Cricetulus griseus: one gene and its partners. The main gene of each other region encodes a partner of the protein of the gene in region 4 in a complex. Links are inferred from orthologs where the notes say so. Each region holds a gene or a part of one and is shown on either strand. Other genes may lie near its edges. The genes, in order: Kat14, Tada2b, Mbip, Tada3 and Taf6l.

Region 1 (4,034 bases), on a different chromosome or scaffold from region 4:
TTGTAGAGTTCGCCACCACCGCCTAAAACTAGCTCTTGGTCTCGAACTCACAGAGATCCACCTGCCTCTGCCTCCCTAGTGCTGAGATTAAAGGTGTGAACCACCACCGCCTGGCTTAGAATTAAAGTTTTTAAAGTGAAAAAGTAAAAATAATAATCTCATGAAGTTTCTGTTAAAAATGTACTCTTGTGAGCTACAAACTATAAAATATTTGTAATAGTGACTAAGTGGAGATTTTAAATTTCATGCTAGGCCAGGGTTCACACTCTGAGATTCTGTTTTTAGAGTTTATCAAGGTAATGACCATTGAGGAACTTACTTTTTCACTGATAATAGTCCTTTTTTTTTTTTCAAATTTTTAATCAAATTGATTGGAAATTTTATGTCTCTGACTTTTCATGATAGAAGCCCATTATTTTCTCACATTCTTCCTGTCTGTTTTTTCTCTTGATGTTTGTTGTCTGTCTCAGGTCATTGATTATAGGAAGGTAGTTCACAGTTTTGCTGTACCAACTCATCACCTTTTAGAAGTATCACTTAGCAATTACATTTATAAAATCCAACAGAGTGTCTGTTTTATTATTAATTCCCACTAAGTTTTCTGTGTTCAGGGATTTCTTAAAACGTGGTAAGAAGTCACTTCAGTATTAGCATAACACATTACATGATTTACTTGGTGGTTTCTTTATTTACAATGTACAGAAGTTAAAATAGTAATTGGGTATTTGGAATCGGAACATTTTGAGTGTATTTTGGTGGTGCTGTTATTTAGATTTGGAGGCACAGGATGGGAGCCACCTGTTCAGGGGGTAACTAAAATCTGCTTCTTACGTTTTTAGAGGCTTCGTGACGGAGTGATCAGAGACATTGAGAGGCAGAATCAGAAAAAAGAAAACATTCGTCTTTTGGGAGAACAGATTATTTTGACTAAGCAACTTGAAGCAGAAAGAGAGAAGATGTTGGAAAGAGGATCTCAAAACACTTGACTGTGAAAATTGATGGGGCAGTGCTGGGTGTATGTGTGTGTGTGTATGTGGGTGTGTGTTGATAGAGAATAGCTAGTGAAAGCCGTCCCCTCCCCCATCACTGTCCATTTAAACTTTATTAAATAAAGGACAGTGGATCCTGTCTTCTAAATAATTCTTTTAAGAGTCTGTTCTGTCTGGATAAAGTACTCGTGGGCAGATGCTCTTCTGAAGTTGTCTGGGGGATTCTGCAGCAGTCCCTGTCAGCTTAGGTGTGCTTGTGAGCAGGGAATGATGGAGAGTAACATCCACCTGAGTGGTCTGCTCAGTCGGCATGATGATGAAGCCACAAGAACATCCACCTCAGAAGGGCTGGAGGAAGGTGAGGTGGAGGGAGAAACTCTCCTAATTGTTGAATCAGAGGATCAGGCGTCAGTGGACTTATCTCACGACCAGAGTGGGGACTCGCTTAACAGCGATGAAGGAGATGTATCATGGATGGAGGAGCAGCTGTCTTACTTCTGTGACAAGTGCCAGAAGTGGATCCCAGCCAGTAAGGAGCTTCTCAATTCCTTTGATCGGTCGATCCCTGTGTGATGGTTTGTTTTCCAGTCTGTGAAAAACACTAATAAAATAGACTTGAAAAAAAGATAATTATATTTATTATTACTAGTGTAGTTTACCAAATGTAAATTTGTATCAAACCACATTATTTTGTTTTTAGTTTTTTAAAGACTCATTTGTTTTATATGTATGTGTATGTGCCTGAGTGTATGAGCACCATGTTCCTGCAGTGCTTGCAGAGGTCAGAGGAGAGGAGCTGTAATTACACATGGTTGTAAGCCACTGTGTGGGTGCAAGGAACTGAACACACATCCTCTGCAAGGGTAGTAAGTGCTCTTAACTGCCAAGCCAGCTCTCCGGCCTCACAAAACCATATTTGTATTAATTAAAATTGTCAACCACTATCCCATTGTTAAATTAACATTCAGGGTGGTAGCCCAAGAAAAACTAGGAATCCTATGTCACTTAAGGAATTGGCCATATTTTTCTAAGATTATGCTGTGGGTTGAGGGACACATTCTGTTGTTGCCAGTATAGAATTAAAGGTTCAAGTTCACATAACTTACCGTGTTAATTTGACATTTGTGGAAACTGCTGTTCTCTTCTGATGGGAGGTAAGAATTGGCAGTGCAAAGGTGTTTGCTTCCTGCCTTTGGTCCAGGTTTATTTTCTACTGTGGGCCTTTTATCTGCTGGAAGGAGTCACAATGCACAGATCTTGAGGTTTCTGGCTGCCTGTTTCATAGCATGCTTTGTCAGCCATCATGATTCTTACCTACACAGCATTTTCCATTAGGCAAGAGACAGAAGGCATGTGCACTGGAGGAACACTTTGTGTAAGGGTTCATAGTTGGTGAAATGGAGGTATTAATTCACTTAGCAAAGTTGGTTATTTTCTGGTATGTAGAAGCTTTTGTTAAAAATGGATCCAATTGTTCAAATTAATAGCTACTATAAATAGGTTAATAGTAACAGTTCATAGAAAACAAACCTAGAATTGACTACCGTTTTTGATTCTCAGCTATCTAGTAAAGCTGGGTTCCACTCCAAATTTCTGGCTTTCCTGTTGTCCTCCCAGGGTAAATTTTAAGGTGACTTTCATGATTGGTCTCTGCTAACTTTTTCAGGGAGGTAGGTGAACATTTCATTCTTTCTAAATAACGCTTGGTTCCTAGGACTTTGTACCTTTTTGTTTTCTCTGGAATACTCACCTGGACTGCTTCCCTGCACTCCTGATCCACATGCAACCTTCCCTTGGGCCCAGGAGACCCCTCTTCCCTCCCTAGTGGGGTTGGACATCTCTTTTTCTTCCTATGCCTTACACTGCCCAGTGATGTATATTATAGTCTACTCTGGAAGTTTTCATGGTACACAAAGCATCAGCATCACCTAGGAGCTTTAATGTAGAGCCCAGACCCAGGCTCAGAGGCAAGCATTTCATCTGGGGCAGACAAGGCCATAGCAGGGATATTAAGCCCAGCCACCTGGTGATTCTGATGCTCCACGAGAATCCAGAATCAGTGCAGTTGTGCATACCTGTGTTCTCTGCTGCCTCCAGATTTATGAGTCCATGAGAACAGGCGCTGGTCATGTCTGCCTTAGACATTGCATATCCAGCTCCTAGCCTGGTGCCTGGCTGGTAGTACAAGCTCAGGTATTCCCGGAAAGAATGTTTGAAGAGACCTGCCTAGAGGAGTCAGGAATGTGGCTACTGGGAAATCCAGTTAGAGCAATCTTACCTGCTTTTCCAGGACCTTTCTCCTGAAAAGCTAAGGAGCCACGGGTTCTAGGAGGGGCATGTGCCTGACTTTAGAAGGAGAAACACCTTTTTTCCTCTCCTCTGCTACTGTCCTGGGTTGGCTGCAGAAAACAAAAAAGCCTTCCATGGGAAACTTGGAAATCTGGTCAATTAACTGAGCCTTTGGGTTGCCACTGCATGAGATAAACCCATGATGTGACTTTTGTTTTTGTATTTGTTGTTGTTTTTTTTTTTCCCCATAGGTCAGCTGAGGGAACAGCTCAGTTACCTTAAGGGCGATAACTTTTTCAGGTTTACTTGTTCCGATTGCTCAGCAGATGGCAAGGAGCAGTACGAGCGGCTGAAGCTGACGTGGCAGCAAGTGAGTACCAAGCGCTTCTCTTAGATGCAGCAGGTTGGATGCCCAAGAAATTGGAATGATTATCTGGAGTGGTTTGGGGGTGGGGTGCTTCACACTTCACAATGAAAAGGGGTACATTGTGTGGAAAGAACACTTCGTGGCTTAAAAAAAAAAAAAAAATCCTCACTCCTGATTTATTGAATTCTTGAGAATCTGAATCAGTTTCGTTTGTGTCATACCAAGCTTAGATTCAACTGAAAACCAGGCCCACATTTTCTGGCAGTCATTTCTGGCATAATAAAACCAGAGGTGGCTACACTGGAAATAGATTTGGCAGAAACAGTTTGACTTGATAACAAAGACAAAGTAACAACTGGTTTAGCCTTCCTGCATTTGCACTTGGAAGC
Region 2 (3,996 bases), on a different chromosome or scaffold from region 4:
TCCATGTCCTCATCCTCTTTGCTTTTCTTGTGTTGTTCTCGACCTGTCGCCCGGATCTCCTCGCTACCTCGCTTCTGCTCTGACTCCTTTGCTTTCTCTTTCTCAGCCTGTGGGGCTGGAGCAGCCGCCTCCTCGACGATCGTGGTCAGTGGCAGGGAGGGCCGGAACCGTGACTCCTTGCTCTTCACCTTCTTCACCTTGTCCTGCTTCTCCCGCCCGGCGGGTTCCTCATCCTCGTCCTCGTCCTCGTCTTCATCCTCGTCTTCGTCTTCGTCCCCCTCCTGGAACTCCCGCTCGGTCTCGGGATGCGGCTCTGACAGACTTTCTGGCTCTCGGGACACGGCCTCGCTCGCAGCCTCTGCTGTCTCGCTCGCAGCCGTAGCGGCCTCCAGACTTTCCTCGACATGAGCGTCATCACTCCCCTCCAAAACCTCTGCTTCAGTGTCGTCCGCAACAGGTTGGGTCTCCGCCTCAGACTCTGGCTCTGGCTCCGGCTCCGGCTCCGGCTCCGGCTCCGGCTCCGGCTCCGGCTCCGGCTCCGGCCCGGGCTCTGGCTCCGGCTCCGCAGGGTCGGCCGGGGTCTGAGGTTCAGGTTCGGAGCTGACCTTGGTCTCGGACGACTGCCTGGTCGGGGCTTCCTCAGTTCCTCCTTCGCCCTCGGTATCCCCGTCGTGGCTGTCCATGCTCGACCCGCAGTCTCAGGTCTGAGGACCGCGGCCGCCTGCTGTTAGGTTTCCCGGGGCAACCAGGGCGCGCGCGGTGGGCCCCGCGATTGGTCGTCCGCCTTCCTTTTCTCTCCGCCTCCCAGCAATATTAAGCCAATGAAGGACAACGAACAGGTGAATGTAAGCGCTGATTGGACACTGTCTCTTGAGAGGTGTGGCGCAGCAGACCGGCTTCCGGTCTGCGCCTTGCCGGCTGTCAGGTTTGGGGCGGGGCCTTACGGCTTCGTGAGTCCATGAGGCGGAGGGAGGCAGCGGCGCGCAGGCGCAGATCGGAGGCTCGGCTGCCCGCAAGAGGGCGCGCGCGGGGCGCCTGCGCGATGCGGCGGGGAGACGGCGGCGACGGCGGCGGCTGCCGGGCCGGGCCGGAGGGCGCCTGCGTGCTGAGGCGGGACGCGGCCCGCCTGGCGGGCTCCGGCGGCGCCTGGGCGGGGACGGCCGTGGCAGCGGCCGGCAGCAGCGCGGGCGCGGTGGGCGCAGTGGGCTCGACAGGCGGCGGGGCGCTGACGGCCGGAGGCGCGGCGACTGCGGGCCGGGCGGCGGGCGAGCGGGGGAAGATGGCGGAGCTGGGTAAGAAGTACTGCGTGTACTGCCTGGCCGAGGTGAGCCCGCTGCGCTTCCGCTGCACCGAGTGCCAGGACATCGAGCTGTGCCCCGAGTGCTTCTCGGCTGGCGCGGAGATCGGCCACCACCGCCGCTACCACGGTTACCAGCTGGTGGACGGTGGACGATTCACTCTCTGGGGGCCTGAGGCGGAGGGCGGCTGGACCAGCCGCGAGGAGCAGCTGCTGTTGGACGCCATCGAGCAGTTCGGCTTCGGCAACTGGGTGAGCGGCGGGCCCTGACTAGAAGGAAGGCATGGCTGGCTGGTTTGGTGCACGCTGCGGCGGGCCGCAGGTGGCCGGACGGGATCGCCCAGAGAATGCTGGGCGCCCATGGCTACACAGCTGGTAGAGCAGAGCCTTGACCCGTGGCCCCTACACCGAGCTGTCTGCCCTTCACACTCGTCCTCAGAATGTGTGCATTGAACGCAGGCGGAGGGCAGGCCCTGTACCTTGCCAAGCTTCTACTCGAGCCAGATGGCAGCAATCGAGACCCTGCTGTCCCTTCTGAGTTCCCTGGTAGGGTTGGGTTCTCCTGGGCACAGTGATGAGGAAGGCTAGAAGCCTGGGCTGCCCATCCCGCATGCACTTAGTCTGCATTCAGGGCTTCGAGTGCTTTCTGTGGGTGTCAGCATGTGACCTGAGCTAGGGTTCTCCGTGGGTAGCAGTGCCTTGTTTAATTCTTGCTCTCTACAGCACCCAGGACATAGTGTGAGAGGTGGCCAGTAAAGAATGAACAAAGGCCTCTCAGTGAGGAGGCATGTAACCAGGAGTCTGCTTTCTAGCTGTCAGGTTTCAGTAGATGTGTCTTGCTGGTGGCAGGAGCTTTGGTGTGCCAGCCAGATAGTGTGCTGGTCTCCTGGTTGTTCTCTAGGGATCTCTAAGGAGCTTTCCTTCTATTCCTCACCTTTATTAGGGAAGAACTCTGTCTTTGTCACCATTACCGCCAGGCACATATAGTATCTTCAGGCTTTCAAAGAAAAGGGAGCTAAGTATGACCCTGTTCTGTCCAGACTCTTTCCCGGTATGGTTGGGTACTGCTTCTCTAAGCTTCCCTACTCCAGCCATACTGCCTTACTATTCCAGGTCATCATATGCAGTGAGTGACCTTTTGGACCCACCTCCCCCACCTAGGAAAGATTCTACTTTACAGATACTTTCCTGATGGCCAACACCTTGACTCCTGCTCTCCAAAAACATCTGGTTGCTTTGCCTATAAGTGGTGTTGTTGGTGTATATTGAGCATTTGATTTGTATAGATCAGGCAGCATGAAACACCCTGAAGAAGAGCCTCAGAACTGAAAATGTTGCATTCGTTTGTTCTGTTCCTCTAGCTTGTCTCTACCTGATGACATCCATTCCTCTCTATATCATTGCCCATGGTGACCCAGCCTCACTTTGTGCTCAGCTACAGAGTCAACTTAAAACCTTCATCTACATCTAGTTGTTTAGCTGTCATCTATTTTTAAAAATGTGCCGAATGTAGCTGCTAATTCTGGTCTGAACCACGCTGACATTTACCTCTTACTGTTTTAACATCTCATGGTTTACCTGCTTTCTCCTTGTGTTCTATAGCTCTTCTCACACACCAACACAGGTCTTTTGAAACATAAGCTGTATCTCTTTGGCTCTCAGCAACTTCCAGTTCTACTTAGATTACATTACAATGCCTGCAAGGCCTGACAACATCTATGGTTCCCTGTGATCTCATGCTTACTCTCTTGATGAGTTTTCCTTTCTTCTGCCTACAGTGCTTTCACCCTAGTCAAGACTACTGACTGATCTTTGTCCTTATGTGTCATTGCTTCAGAGAGACGTTTCTTCCTCACATCATTCCTCCAGCACTATCTCTAGAGTAGCCACTGAAAAGAGTGAGAGTGTTAGTTTTGGGGAGCCCACTGCTGACCTTGTTTTATCTCCTGAAACTGGGCTGGCTATACCAAGTGGAAGAAGAGGCAGAAAGAGTGTAAGAGCCAGAGGGGGGAAGAGGACACAAAGAGACAAGGCCCTTGTAATCAAGTGAGCACAGCTCATGTGAACTCACAGACTGAAGCAGCAAGCACAGGGCCAACATGGGTCTGTACCACATCTCTGCATTTATATTATAGCTTTCAGTTTAGTATTTTTATGGGTCTCCTGAGTATGTGAACGAGTGGGTCGCTGATTCTTGTCACTTCTCTTGGGGCTCTTTTTCTTCATTGGTTTGACTTGTCCAACTTCGATGTGATGGTTTTTATTCTATCTTATTATATTTTATTTTGCTAAAGAAAAGAAAGGAAATCTTGGGCTGTAGAGTCCGCACCTCAACTAGTGTTTGTGCTGCATTGGTGTAGCACAGTCAGAAGCACATAGCACCCAGGCATGGAAGCATGTAAAATGTGGATGAATAAACAGGCTGGATGGGAAGGCCTCTTCTGAAGCAGCACTTTCAGGCTTTAAGGCCAGAGGAACTTGAGTCAAGATGCAGGTTCTCATGAGGTCCAGGCTCAGCTTTGGAAGAAGTAAAGCTCAAGAGGAAGAGTCTTGGGACTTGGCTGCCTGTGTGTAGTTCATGGACTGCTACCTGCTGAAGCAGCAAGAGTCTCAGGGCCGGTCTGAGAGATGCAACCACTGATCCTCACACAGAAAGAGGAGGCTCTGTGACTCTGCTATCTGTGCTCTCCTAGACCGGT
Region 3 (4,209 bases), on a different chromosome or scaffold from region 4:
CCCTGCTTCTAATCTCTTTGGGCACCTACACACACACACACACACACACACACACACACACACACAACTAAAAAAATTGTGAAACTAAAAGCTTGGGTTTCAAAATCAGTTATGACAAAGAAAAGAATGGGCAGTACCTTAATCACTCTCAAAATGTGTAATAAAAGTCCTCTATTGCCTAAAAAATCCAAAGATCATTACTTGGTATAGAACAAGGACTCTTAGATTCCACATTACAATTATCCCCCATTAACAAGTGAATCAGAGACAAAAATGTGCTAACATTACAACAAATTGTGAATTTCTTTTAGTTATAAGGACAAGTGACTGGAATGAGAGGGTTGCTTGATTTGAGTTTCAATCTCTGTCACCAAACAGGTGTTCTACCGGCTTCAGATCTTACTGCTAGCAAGGACACAGACAAGCTTTCTTGCTATGTCTGATGATCCCAGACATCTTTGGAAATAACTGAGTAAAAGGCTCTGTAGAGACAGGTCAAAGGAGTGCTTTCATTTTTACTATCCTTATCCCGGTGTCCCTTGGTTCCTTATTTCTTCCTTCATTCAGCTTCTTCTCAACTCTATAGAATACACTTTAGGTCCATACCTCTACTTCCTGTATACTAGCCCTGGCTGTCCTGCAACATGGTCAGTAGACCAAGCTTATCTCTTAAGCTTGTTTTAAAATTTTAACAGAATTCTACATTATAAAATTATAACTCTTTCGTTATAATAAAGCTATCTAATAATACCCGGCAAGTGTCGATTTAGTTTTCTATCTCAATTTCGACTAATATGAAATTAGTTGGTTTAAAGTTCTATTGGATTTATTTGAAACAATTTTAGGATTGAGTGTCCATTGAGTGTCCACTGAGAAACTGTTGCATTAGAAACTTGACAAACTATTTTACAGTTATAGTCATCAATGTCGTTTCCTGACAAAGGAGGCATAATGTAGGCTTTTCAGTTTTTCTTACATTCTTCGCGTCAAACAACCCTGTAGAGATGAAAATGTTCTATCCAGTTATGATCATCCTGGGTATGAATTTTCCAGTATTCAGACACGTGAGCCCCGTTCCATCGCTGACCCTCAACCTTGTCCCAACTCCAAGTCGCCATGTTAACATTTTAAATTTTAATAGAGGGACTCAATTTCTAACACTTAACAGTAAGGCTCTTCCGGCACTCACGGGGAGCGTCTAAGAGCCAAGGTAGACTTCTAAGCCATAGCCACCCACGCAAAACATCACCAAACAGAGGGTCCGCCTGCGCTACACAGAACCTCCGAGTTCAGACGCCTTGCTCTTGATTGGTCTCGGTGCCTGTCTGTCACATAGAGAGAGTGGGGCCTACCCTCACATCCAAATAAGACGCGGTAGTTTTACGTCATCTCAGCGCGACGGAATCCGCGCGGGAGGGGAGGGGGCGAGCCGTCTTGGCCGCGCTTGGGGGCTGCTGCGAAGGTGTCATGGCTGCTGCTGCGGAGCCCAGTGCCTCAAGCTGCAGCGAGAGGAACCTGGAGCGAAGCTCCAGCCCCCTTCTCACCCGCGAGGTGCTCTGCGAGCTCTTTCGTTCCCTGCACACCCTGACTGGGCAGGTAAGTGAAGGTGCGGCGGGGGTGGGGAGCATCCCGGTCCTCTCTCCGGAGTCCTCCCTCGTCGCGGAGTCCTCCCGCATCGCGTCTGCGGCTAGGATGCCGAGGCCGCGGCCGCCGGGACCGGGAGGAGCGGGAGCCCAGTTGCCTGGGGCCGGGAGCGGCCGGCTGCACACTCGGTGACCACGCGTGAGTACCGAGGGCGAGAGGAAACACGGGTCCTGGCGCCGAACTCTTGCAGAAAATCAATGCATGAGAGATGGCAGGGTTAAGGAGGCTCCTGGAGCTGACTGTGGTTTTTCCTCCCCTGTTTTAATTCGTCGGTTAGTATGGCCTGAAACTTTTCCTACCTCCATCTCCACTCTTTAGGGGGTGATTTACTCTGGGTTTTTATTTGTTTCTCATCATTTATTTGCATCTGTCATACCCTTTGAAACGGTGCGGGGGGCTGTAAGAATTTCTAAAATATAACTAACTTGTAATGTGCCTAGATTTTAGTGTAAATTGTTGGATGATTTGAATGTATGACCAGCTCTACCGTCTTTACTAGTGTCGTGTGACTATTAACTAATCGCTCTTACAGAAATGCCATAGTAAAACTGGATTTTAAAAAGGAGGTTCCTTCACTTTATTAGATAAAGCCATTCATGATATAATGAAGCTTATTTTTAATAAGGAGCAAAAGTATGTTTGCTTGCTTTTAAAAATATTTTATGTCAAACTGTTTCCTAGTTTGATTGGGGGCTGGTCTAGTGCATGTGGTACCTCTGACAATAGGGCATTTACCTGATTTGTGAGAATTATTTTTAAAACCCTTAGATGGATGAATAATTGATCTTGTAAAAAGTTATTTTAGTAAAAATTTTAAAACCTTAGTACGTTTATTTTGCCTGGCAAACTACTTTCATTTGTACATTCAGTTCGGTGTTATGAGGCAGTTAATAGTGGTCTTCTAAAATTAAAACTTTAAAATCAATTGTTTAATGAGCATTAGTAAATTTTTTCCCAAGTCTTAAAGACTTTGTTTAAATTAACATTTCAGTGATAATATTCCAGATCTTTAAATAGTTCAAAAGTCAAAGAACTTTTTGGCATGGATTTGGAACTTAAAGACTTAATCATTAATATTCTAATGTCCAGATGAGAAAAATATTCTCAGCCTTTGTGTTTAGAAGTTGCAAAAATAATGTACATTGATAAATGATTTGAACATCTAAAGTATTCTGCATATTGATTTTTTCAAAGTTATATAAATTTATACCAAAGGTTCAAATGGAAAAAACGATTCAATCTTAACTTATGCCACCTGCCAACAAATGTAACATAGTTAAAGGGACCTTTATACAAGTGTCAATATAAGATTTTTTTTAAATCAATTAAATGCTGTTTTAGTATTATTGTGTATTTTGAGATTATGATTTAAGCCATACACACATGTAAGTTGCCCCTAGGCAACTTGTGTCCTTTTGCAACAAATTAAAAGGATTTTTAAGATGTAAATTGTAATTATTAGTTCATTGTAAATATCATTGAATTATTAGTGCTTTTCAAAAGAAAGTATAAAACTGAATTGTAAAAAGTATTTTTTTCTCCAAATGCAAAATACACTTACATTAACCTTTTTTCTTTCCTCTCATTGGCCCATGTTATCAAGCTAAAGATTTGTTAGCTTGTTTTTTTTTTTTTTTTTTTTTGTATTAGTTTCTACTGAACATTCATAACTGATTAATCTAGTGTATTAATAGAAAAATTTGAATGTCAAGAGCTATGGGGTAAAATGCATAAAGGAATTTGCTGAATGAAAAATTGGATGTATTTGGGGGTCATTTTTGAATTATGACATTATTGTTTGATTTTTCATGGAAGACCAACTATCTTGAGTTGCCTTTGAAGACTTACATAATTCTGCTGAATTGACATAGAATATTATCCAGCCATTAAGATTTCTTTTCTATAGTTATTTTCTTTAAAGAATGTGATGCTTTCCTCAGGTTTAAAGATTACTTGTTTTTTTTATTCTTCAAGCCATTTAAATTTGCCATAGTCAACTGTATGTCTCTTGGAGAACTGTAAACACATGCTGATGGATTGCTTTCATACACATTATTAAATACAGTAATCTTATTAATCTTAATGTCAAATCTTAACTTAGTTGTAAGCTTATCTTTGCCAGTATAGTCTATGTAAAATTTCATATTTCTTTATGTCTGTCAAATAAGGACTTGAAATGGTTCTGGTCTCAGCAGTAAATGTTTGTATCCATTGTACACGAAAGTGCTTACTTTGGGAACTTGGGATTTCTTTGGTTCCGTAGACAGTGATTCACGTTTTGGTTTTTTATTTTTAACAACTCATTAGATTGATAGTTGAATTCATGAAACGTGTATCTTTACTTTGTGGAAAATATGACTAGTTGCCAATAAATTATTCTTGCAAAATACAGTTAACTTCCTTCCACTATGCGGTATGTACTTATACAATGTACTTATACAATAGGTGTCCTTAGAAAAGTTTATAGGGATTCCTTCATACTCAGTCAGTGATTACAGGTGGAGCTTCTCCTCTCCCACTAAAGTTTTGACTGATTTTGATATTAATTTTATATTCAGGTTCTTG
Region 4 (3,511 bases):
AGATCACTTTCCAATGAAGAATTTGTCCCATGAGTCCATCTGACTGCAGTGGAGCCTGGGAAATGTAGTGTAGCTCAGCTGCTGTGGAGGAAAAAACAGTGCTAGGTTATTTCCTTGTCACTGTTTCTCTTGTGTCCCCTTCTTTTGCTGTCCATATTCCCCTCCCCTCAATAAAAGAATTTCTATAATGATCAAAGCTTTGGAGGAAGCTTTTTTTGTTTTTGTTTTTTGAGACAGGAGCCTGTCCTGGAACTTACTCTGTAGACCAGACTGGCTTCGAACTCACAGAGATCTGCCTGCCTCTGCCTCCTCAGTGCTGGAATTGGAGGAAGCTTTTTAACATGAGTGGGATGAAAAGATGGCAGACTATTTCTATCTAGCCTATAAAGACTGTGTATGTCAGAGAGGAGCATTAAAACAGGGATTCTATTGCTTCCTCCTTCTAACCTATCTCTGGTCTTCAGGAAAATATTATTTCCCCTATGGAGGACTCTCCTATTCCTGACATGTCTGGGAAAGAATCAGGGGCTGATGGCGCAAGCACCTCTCCCCGAAATCAGAACAAACCCTTCAGGTGAGTGACATACCATCTGCACTCTGGGCGTGACTGTCAGCTTCTCTCTGTCTTCTTAGGGGGGCATGCTTTGTAAACAGAGGCTGGGGCCATTTGACCATGCACAGACATCTGGCTATACAGATGTTTGCACAGCACATGGAAGTGCTGGCCTCGATTCTGGACAGGCTTAGTACAGACTTGATCATACCTTTGCCTTTCCTGGAGATAACCCAAGTGTCCAGCTGAAGGGAATGGCTAGTTGAGTGCTAAAACTGCATAAGAAATAACTTGTAACTGCTAATCATTACAGAAATATACTTGACATGAAAGAATTAAAACAGAGTACCAAATGGGGGGAAAGGAGTAATCCTATTTGTACTTAAACTATATTTAAGAGTTACATATAGTTTTAAAAAATCTTGGAAATATATATCATAAAAGATTGCAACTCACACATAACAAGGCCTGAAACATATATGTGTGGCTATATGGGTTCACCTTGCCAGACTGGGATCCTCTGAGGGCCCTCCAGCTGGCGCTCAGAGCTCAGGTGCTGGCCTTGCCTACAGTGTGCCCCACACCAAGTCCTTGGAGAGCCGCATCAAGGAGGAGCTGATTGCACAGGGCCTCCTGGAGTCCGAGGACCGGCCTGCTGAGGACTCAGAGGATGAGGTCCTCGCTGAGCTGCGCAAACGGCAGGCTGAGCTGAAGGCACTCAGTGCACACAACCGCACCAAGAAGCATGACCTGCTGAGGTGAGTGAGCACTGTGCCAGGGACTAGCCCTATCCCCCAGTTGGATCTCTGATGGATGCTAAGTCCAGGGACAGGGCTCTAGCACCCACAACTGACATATGGATGGGTCTGTGAATATGAGTGCAGGTGTCTGTGGTGTCAGCTGCCCTGCAGTTGATGAAGTTACTGGTTTTTGCCAGACGCCCAATGTAGGTGCTGGGAACTAAACCCCAGTCCTCTGCAAGAGTAGTACACACTTAACCACTGAGCCATCTCTTCAGCCCTGACTCCATTGATAAGCATAATTTAGTAATATTTACAGTGTTAAGTTGCTTTTGTTTTTTTTTTTTAAATGTGTGTTTTCTTTCTTTTTTTCAAGACAGGGTTTCTCTGTGTAACCTTGGCTGTTCTGGAACTCACCCAGTAGACCAGGCTGGCCTCAAACTCACTGAGATCCACCTGCCTTTGCCGCCCAAGTGCTGGGATGTGCTACCTCCACCACTACCTGGCTGTGTTTTCTTTTTCTTTATGGTATTATTCAATCAAAATACCACAGAGGCACTGGGAAGATCTGCAGTGGGGAAAATGCTTGCCACCAAGCCTGACCTCTTGCGTTCAGTCTACAGCACCCACATGAAAGCTGGCCACAGCAGAACATATCTGTAACCCCAGTGCTTGGGTGGGCAGAGAGGCAAGCCTAGCAGAATAGGCCATTTCTCAGTGGGTAAAGGCACTTACCACCAAGCCTGGCCACTTGATTTCAATCCCTAAAACCTAAAACCCAGATGATAGAGAAAGAAAACCAACTCCTGCAAGTTGTCCTCTAGCCTCCACATGCACACCATGGCATATAACCCTCTAGTGAATACCTAAGCTACAGGAAAAATAAATAAGGCGAAGCATGATAAAGAAAGATCCAGTATCAACCTCTGGCCTCCACATGCATGCACATATACATGTGCAATATGAAGACGTATACATATAACATACATAAAAAACATCATAGAGAAAATAATGAATATCAGTATGCTCAGACATATGAGTTGCTAATGTTCTCTTAGCTGTCTATGGCTTTGATTGGCTGGTCACCCCACACTTACTAGTGTCTTAGAATCAGTCATAGTGTCATTCATTTTATATCAACTCCCATCTGACTTTCCTTGCACTGGTGACAAGGGTAGAGATTACATGTGAAGGGCATTGGTAGGAGCTGCCCTTTTGTTAGCACTCAAGCAAGACTTCTTGTTCCTCTTAGAGCCTTGACAAAGCAGGTTCTTGATTACCTGGCTAGCTCTTACTGTGTCTGACCTGGTGCTGGGCCAGGAAGAAGGCAGAAGGAGACTCCTGTTCTCTTAGGTGGTCGGAGGAGACACGCCATTCAGAGGGGAGGGGCAGCTGCTGCTGAGCTTTATGGGGATCTGAGGATAAAGAAACCATGGTGCCCACTGTCTGCTAGGGTCTTGTGTACCTTCTTTCTTCTAAGACAAGCAAGCTGGGAGGTGGTAGCACACACCTTTAATCCCAGTACTTGGGAGGCATAGGTAGGCGGATCTCTGAGGCCAACCTGGTCTACAAAGAGTTCCAGGATAGCCAGCAATGTTACACAGAGAATCCCTGTCTCAAAACAACAACAAAATAAAAAGTTCCCTTTCAAGGGCAAGGAGCAGCAAGGGTAGGACCAAACGAGATTAAAAACAATGCTGTGTAGTTCCAGAGGTATGGCTTGCTGTGGAAATGTTTTGGTGCTGAAGCTCAGCCCTGGGCCCTGCTGTGCTCCAGCTACTGGACTGTGGGCAAGGTACTTTGGGCCCAAGCAACAAGGATTAGATTTCCTAGAGACCTTCAGCTCCACCATCAGTGGGACTGAGTCAGATCCCCACAGGATTGAAGAAGCTCAGTGCAGCTGTGCACATCTGTAATTCTAATAAGCAGAGGGGAATGAGAGCCGGGATTGTGAGGAGGCTCAGTTTGGAAGAGGATGATAACTGGAGATTGGATAACCATGATACTTGGCCCCCATAGGTTGGCAAAGGAGGAGGTGAGCCGGCAGGAGCTGAGACAGCGGGTCCGCATGGCAGACAATGAGGTCATGGATGCCTTTCGCAAGATCATGGCTGCCCGGCAGAAGAAGCGCACCCCTACAAAGAAGGAAAAGGACCAGGCCTGGAAAACCCTGAAAGAACGAGAGAGCATCCTGAAGCTCCTGGACGGGTAGCATCAC
Region 5 (4,291 bases), on a different chromosome or scaffold from region 4:
AACATGCCTAGTGAATGTCTGAAATAAAGCAATTTTTCTTCTTCTTTTTTTTTTTTTTTTTTTTTTTTTTTTTTTTTGAGACAGGGTTTCTCTGTGTAGCCTTGGTTATCCTGGAATTCACAGAGATCTGCCTGCTTCTGCCTCCCTAGTGCTTGGATTAAAAGTGTGCGGCTGCCACCGCCACCTGGTTGAAATAAAGCAATTTGATCTTTGCAAGCACTAGGTATCTGGGGAGTGAGAGGATACTTCTGTGCGGGGGACCATGTTGGCAAGCCAATGACACACTGACTGAATGTATTCACCAAAGACCAGACTGACAGAAATGGAAGATTTAACAGGAGACACCACCAACGCTGGAGGTGTGGGAATTCAAAGATTGCACCTGACATAATGTGTTCCCAGTGTTAGCTCTTTACAGGGTTTAATGGAAATTTCTTAGGTCTGACAGGTGGGACACTTGTGGGAGGGAGCTCCATCTTGCTTAGGTGACATGACATTGTTGAGGACTAACTTTTACAGAGTGGGATGCCTGCAGTTGGGACTGGCCATCTGTCCGATGCAGGCATGTGCTATTAGGGGTCAAACTTGTGAAAGTGTAAATCTGCTCATTAGACGGTGGAATTCTCTGTATGATAATCAGGTTATGCAAGATAAAGTGTAGTCAGGGCTCCCCTCCCTCTTCCCTTCCTTTCCTGGGACTCACTCTGTAGACCATGCTGGCCTCGAACTCACAGAGTGCTGGGATTAAAGGCGTGTGCAACTATCGCCTGGCTGTACCTTCTGATTTTTGCTTCTCACGATGTGCCTCCCACCCCCAAAGCTGGCTTCAGACTCTCTGTGTAGACCAGGCTGGTCTCGAACAAACAAAAATCCTCCTGCCTTTGCTTCCTCAGTGCTGAGATTGAAGGTGTGCACCACCACACCCGGCCAGAGGTCCCTTCTGTCCACGGGGAAACATCTCCTGGGCCCCCATCTATTCTTCTGGGAAGGGGAAAAAGTAGCAGTTGCTGTTGGGGGCATTATTATTATTATTATTATTATTATTATTATTATTATTATTTATTTTCGAGACAGGGTTTCTCTGTGTAGCTTTGGAGCCTATCCTGGCACTCGCTCTGTAGACTAAGCTGGTCTTGTACTCACAGAGATCCACCTGCCTCTGCCCCCCGAGTGCTGGGATTAAAGGCGTGTGCCACCAACGCCCGGCTTGTTGGGGGCATTAAGCTAAGTCATGTACCGAAAGCTTTACTGTGATCCAAAAAACTTGTATACTCTGGGATAGCCGACTCAAGGGATGGAGGACTGTCTCTATGGAGAAGGTGTTAACTCCAGGCAACCCCGGGCACAGCACCTGCTAGCCAAACAAGAGCTGCTGCTTTAAGAAGCGCTATTCACGTGACCAACGACGCCTCGGTGCCTTCTCCACATATTCACACTGACCAATCCTGAGGCGGGACGGCCGCTGGTGGGCGGGAAGCTCAGGAGACAGCTGCCGATTGGCTCCGCGTACTGAGGGCGGAGCCTGGGCTCCGAGAGAGGGAATTAGCGAGAGCCGGTGAGTGGAAGCCGCCGCCGCCGCCGCCGCCTCCGCCGCCTCCCCGGTAGGCAGGGTCCTCGCATCGCCGGAGTCCGCAGGTGAGCAGGCTTCTTCGCGTCCGTGCTGGGCTGCTCACCAGCCTCGGGGCCCGCGGGGGCCCGCCCGCCCGCCTCACCGAGCACGTGACACAAGTTCCGTAACCCTTGACCTCCCCACTCCACCCCACGCCCTCTGGATCTGGGATGAAGGTGGGTCGGAGGATGCGCAACCCACAGGCCCGAGGAGGCCGGTTCTCACGCTTCCTGGTCAGCACTGGGAACTGAGGCTGTGCAAGACCTTGGTCACAGTCAGGACTTTGAGGTCTCAATAGGGGAACATAATAGAGCAACTCCCTACTGGCTTTTCAAATGCTCACGACTGAGTGCTCCCATTTTACAGATGGGAAAACTGAAGGGTACTCATCCCATCCAGTGGTGAATCTAAAGGTGGGACTTGGGTTACAAAGCCAGGCCTAGTTCAAACATAAGCCTGCTCCTGGTATATATATAGCATCCTGAGTATATTTTGGTTTTTCGAGACAGGTTTTCTCTGTGGCTTTGGAGGCTGTCCTGGAGCTCACTCTTGAGACCAGTCTGGTCTCGAACTCACAGATCCCCCCCGCCTATGCCTCCCGAGTGCTGGAATCAAAGGCGTGCGCCGCCACTGCCCAGCATCTGAGTTAATTTAAAACAAGGGTTTGAGTCCCTGACATCTAATTACTCAATGCTTGCTGGCTTGTCTTGGACAATCTAGGTAACCTTTCTGAGCTATCTCTCGTGGCTTTGTAAACTAGACAAAAATGTACACTATCTATCTTGTTAGCGAGGATAGGAGGAGGTCATAGAGTGTTGCTACTTGGAAGCCACAAACATTTATGTGCTTAGAGCTGGGGGCTGGAGAGATGACTCAGAGGTTACGAGCACTGCTGCTCTTCCAGAGATTCTGAGTTCAATTCCCAGCAACCACGTAGTGGCTCACAACCATCTGTAGTGGGATTCTGATGCGCTCTTCTGGCATAAAGGTGTACATGCAGACAGAGCACTCATTCATAAAATAATAAATCTTTAAAAAACCAAACAAAATAAATAAGACATATTTTTTAAAATTCGGCAGAGAAATAGCTGGGCTGAAGAGATGGCTCAGCAGTTAAGAGCACTGGCTGCTCTTGCAGATGACCCAGGTTTGATTCCCAGCACCCACATGGCAGCTCACAACTGTCTATAACTCCAGTTATAGGGGATCTGTCACCTCACACAGACATAACACAGGCAAAACACCAGTGCACATAAAAATAAGTTAAAGAAAAAAAAAAGAAAAATAGTTATTCTAGGCCAGGAGTAGTGGTGCACATGTTTAATCCCAGCATTGGGGAGGCAGAGGCAGGAAGTTTGAGGCTAGCCTGATCTACAGAGAGAGTTCCAGGGCTAAATAGAGAGACTTTGTCTCCAAAACAAATGAATACCTGCTCTTTCTTTTTTCAGCAGGTGTTAATGAAGGCATAATATGTGCTGACATTGCTGGTCGCTTGGGATGCAAAGGTGAGCACACAGACCATGATCTTTGCTGGTGTGCAGCTTACAGTCTACTAGGGACCACACGCTGGTCCCCAGTGCCGCTTTAAAAAGAGTGGGAATGATGGCGAAAAGCTGTGTGTAGTGAGCTTGCAGCCCGCCCCAGCATGCCAAGATAGGTGGTGGGTTCCTGGAGCTTGCTGACCAGCCAGCCTAAGCTAATCTGTGGACCTCAGGTTCCAGTGCGAGACCCTGTCTGAAAAAATAAAGTGGACAGCTCCTCAGGGGGTATGTTACCCAAGGTTGTCTTCTGTAAACTCATACACAAAAGCTATGCAGCTGTGTAGTTACAGACTGTTTGAACCTAGGGCTCACACATGCTCGGAAATATTTCTACAACTGAGTTGTATCTTCAGTCTTCTTTCTTTAATTTTTTTTTCTTTCTTTTTTTTTTTTTTGAGACAGGGTTTCTCTGTATTGCTTTGGAGGTTGTCTTAGAACTCGCTCTGTAGACCAGGCTGGCCTGGAACTCAGAGATCCGCCTACCTCTGCCTCCTGAGTGCTGGGATTAAAGGCGTGAGCCACCAATGCCTGGCTTCTTTACTTCTTTTCTTTTCTTTTTGTGTGTGTGTTTTAGTTTTTCTTTTCTTTCTTTCTTTCTTTTTTTTTTTTTTTTGGTTTGTCGAGACAGGGTTTCTCTGTGGCTTTGGAGGCTGTCCTGGAACTAGCTCTTGTAGACCAGGCTGGTCTCGAACTCAGAGATGTATCTGCCTTGCTTTCTGAATGCTGGGATTAAGGGTGTGCACCATCACTTCAGCTCCAGTCTTCTTTTTACATTTTATTTTGAGATAGTCTGAGTTGTTAGGGTAACCTTGAACTCACTTCATAGTTCAAGTGGGCTTTGAACTATCCATGCTCCTGCCTCAGAGTTGCTTTAAAAACAAATGATGGGGACATTTACACAATCTGGGAAGAGCTTCCTTAGCAAGTGACATCTGAACTATGATCTGAAGGGGGTAAGTGATTGATCGAGATTTGGGGAGAACAACAAAGAAGGAGAGTGTCAGACAGAAGCAGCAGAATGGATTGAGGCCTTGAAATAAGGAATTGAAAGGTAGCCACATGTAGACACACAGAACACAAGGGAAGAAGCAGTGAGTTTTGCAGATAGACGGCGCATGCATAGCCTTTCTAGCGTGGGCCG

What was found.
Region 1: Tada3 (region 4) and Kat14 share a complex: the UniProt entries of both Homo sapiens proteins name them as parts of the ADA2A-containing complex. The link is inferred for Cricetulus griseus from reciprocal best matches to the Homo sapiens genes TADA3 and KAT14.
Region 2: Tada3 (region 4) and Tada2b share a complex: the UniProt entries of both Homo sapiens proteins name them as parts of the TFTC-HAT complex. The link is inferred for Cricetulus griseus from reciprocal best matches to the Homo sapiens genes TADA3 and TADA2B.
Region 3: Tada3 (region 4) and Mbip share a complex: the UniProt entries of both Homo sapiens proteins name them as parts of the ADA2A-containing complex. The link is inferred for Cricetulus griseus from reciprocal best matches to the Homo sapiens genes TADA3 and MBIP.
Region 5: Tada3 (region 4) and Taf6l share a complex: the UniProt entries of both Homo sapiens proteins name them as parts of the STAGA transcription coactivator-HAT complex. The link is inferred for Cricetulus griseus from reciprocal best matches to the Homo sapiens genes TADA3 and TAF6L.

What each region holds. Positions count from the first base shown.
Region 1 is NC_048599.1:34,630,515-34,634,548, reverse strand, and holds the start of Kat14 (cysteine-rich protein 2-binding protein), read left to right. Parts: upstream 1-1,227; 5' UTR 1,228-1,256; coding exon 1,257-1,518; intron 1,519-3,529; coding exon 3,530-3,648; intron 3,649-4,034. Other genes in the region: protein PET117 homolog, mitochondrial, read left to right, coding at 840-986. UniProt on the Homo sapiens protein: Component of the ATAC complex, a complex with histone acetyltransferase activity on histones H3 and H4. May function as a scaffold for the ATAC complex to promote ATAC complex stability. Has also weak histone acetyltransferase activity toward histone H4.
Region 2 is NW_023276807.1:105,487,194-105,491,189, reverse strand, and holds the start of Tada2b (transcriptional adapter 2-beta), read left to right. Parts: upstream 1-1,195; 5' UTR 1,196-1,279; coding exon 1,280-1,549; intron 1,550-3,996. Other genes in the region: Ccdc96 (coiled-coil domain-containing protein 96), read right to left, coding at 1-683. UniProt on the Homo sapiens protein: Coactivates PAX5-dependent transcription together with either SMARCA4 or GCN5L2.
Region 3 is NC_048598.1:146,084,864-146,089,072, forward strand, and holds the start of Mbip (MAP3K12-binding inhibitory protein 1), read left to right. Parts: upstream 1-1,404; 5' UTR 1,405-1,467; coding exon 1,468-1,596; intron 1,597-4,209. UniProt on the Homo sapiens protein: Inhibits the MAP3K12 activity to induce the activation of the JNK/SAPK pathway. Component of the ATAC complex, a complex with histone acetyltransferase activity on histones H3 and H4.
Region 4 is NC_048601.1:31,429,581-31,433,091, forward strand, and holds part of Tada3 (transcriptional adapter 3), read left to right. Parts: exon of another isoform or gene 1-81; intron 82-464; coding exon 465-574; intron 575-1,125; coding exon 1,126-1,311; intron 1,312-3,312; coding exon 3,313-3,505; 3' UTR 3,506-3,511. UniProt on the Homo sapiens protein: Functions as a component of the PCAF complex. The PCAF complex is capable of efficiently acetylating histones in a nucleosomal context. The PCAF complex could be considered as the human version of the yeast SAGA complex.
Region 5 is NC_048596.1:51,305,602-51,309,892, forward strand, and holds the start of Taf6l (TAF6-like RNA polymerase II p300/CBP-associated factor-associated factor 65 kDa subunit 6L), read left to right. Parts: upstream 1-1,487; 5' UTR 1,488-1,635; intron 1,636-1,729; exon of another isoform or gene 1,730-1,785; intron 1,786-3,057; 5' UTR 3,058-3,106; coding exon 3,107-3,114; intron 3,115-4,291. UniProt on the Homo sapiens protein: Functions as a component of the PCAF complex. The PCAF complex is capable of efficiently acetylating histones in a nucleosomal context. The PCAF complex could be considered as the human version of the yeast SAGA complex.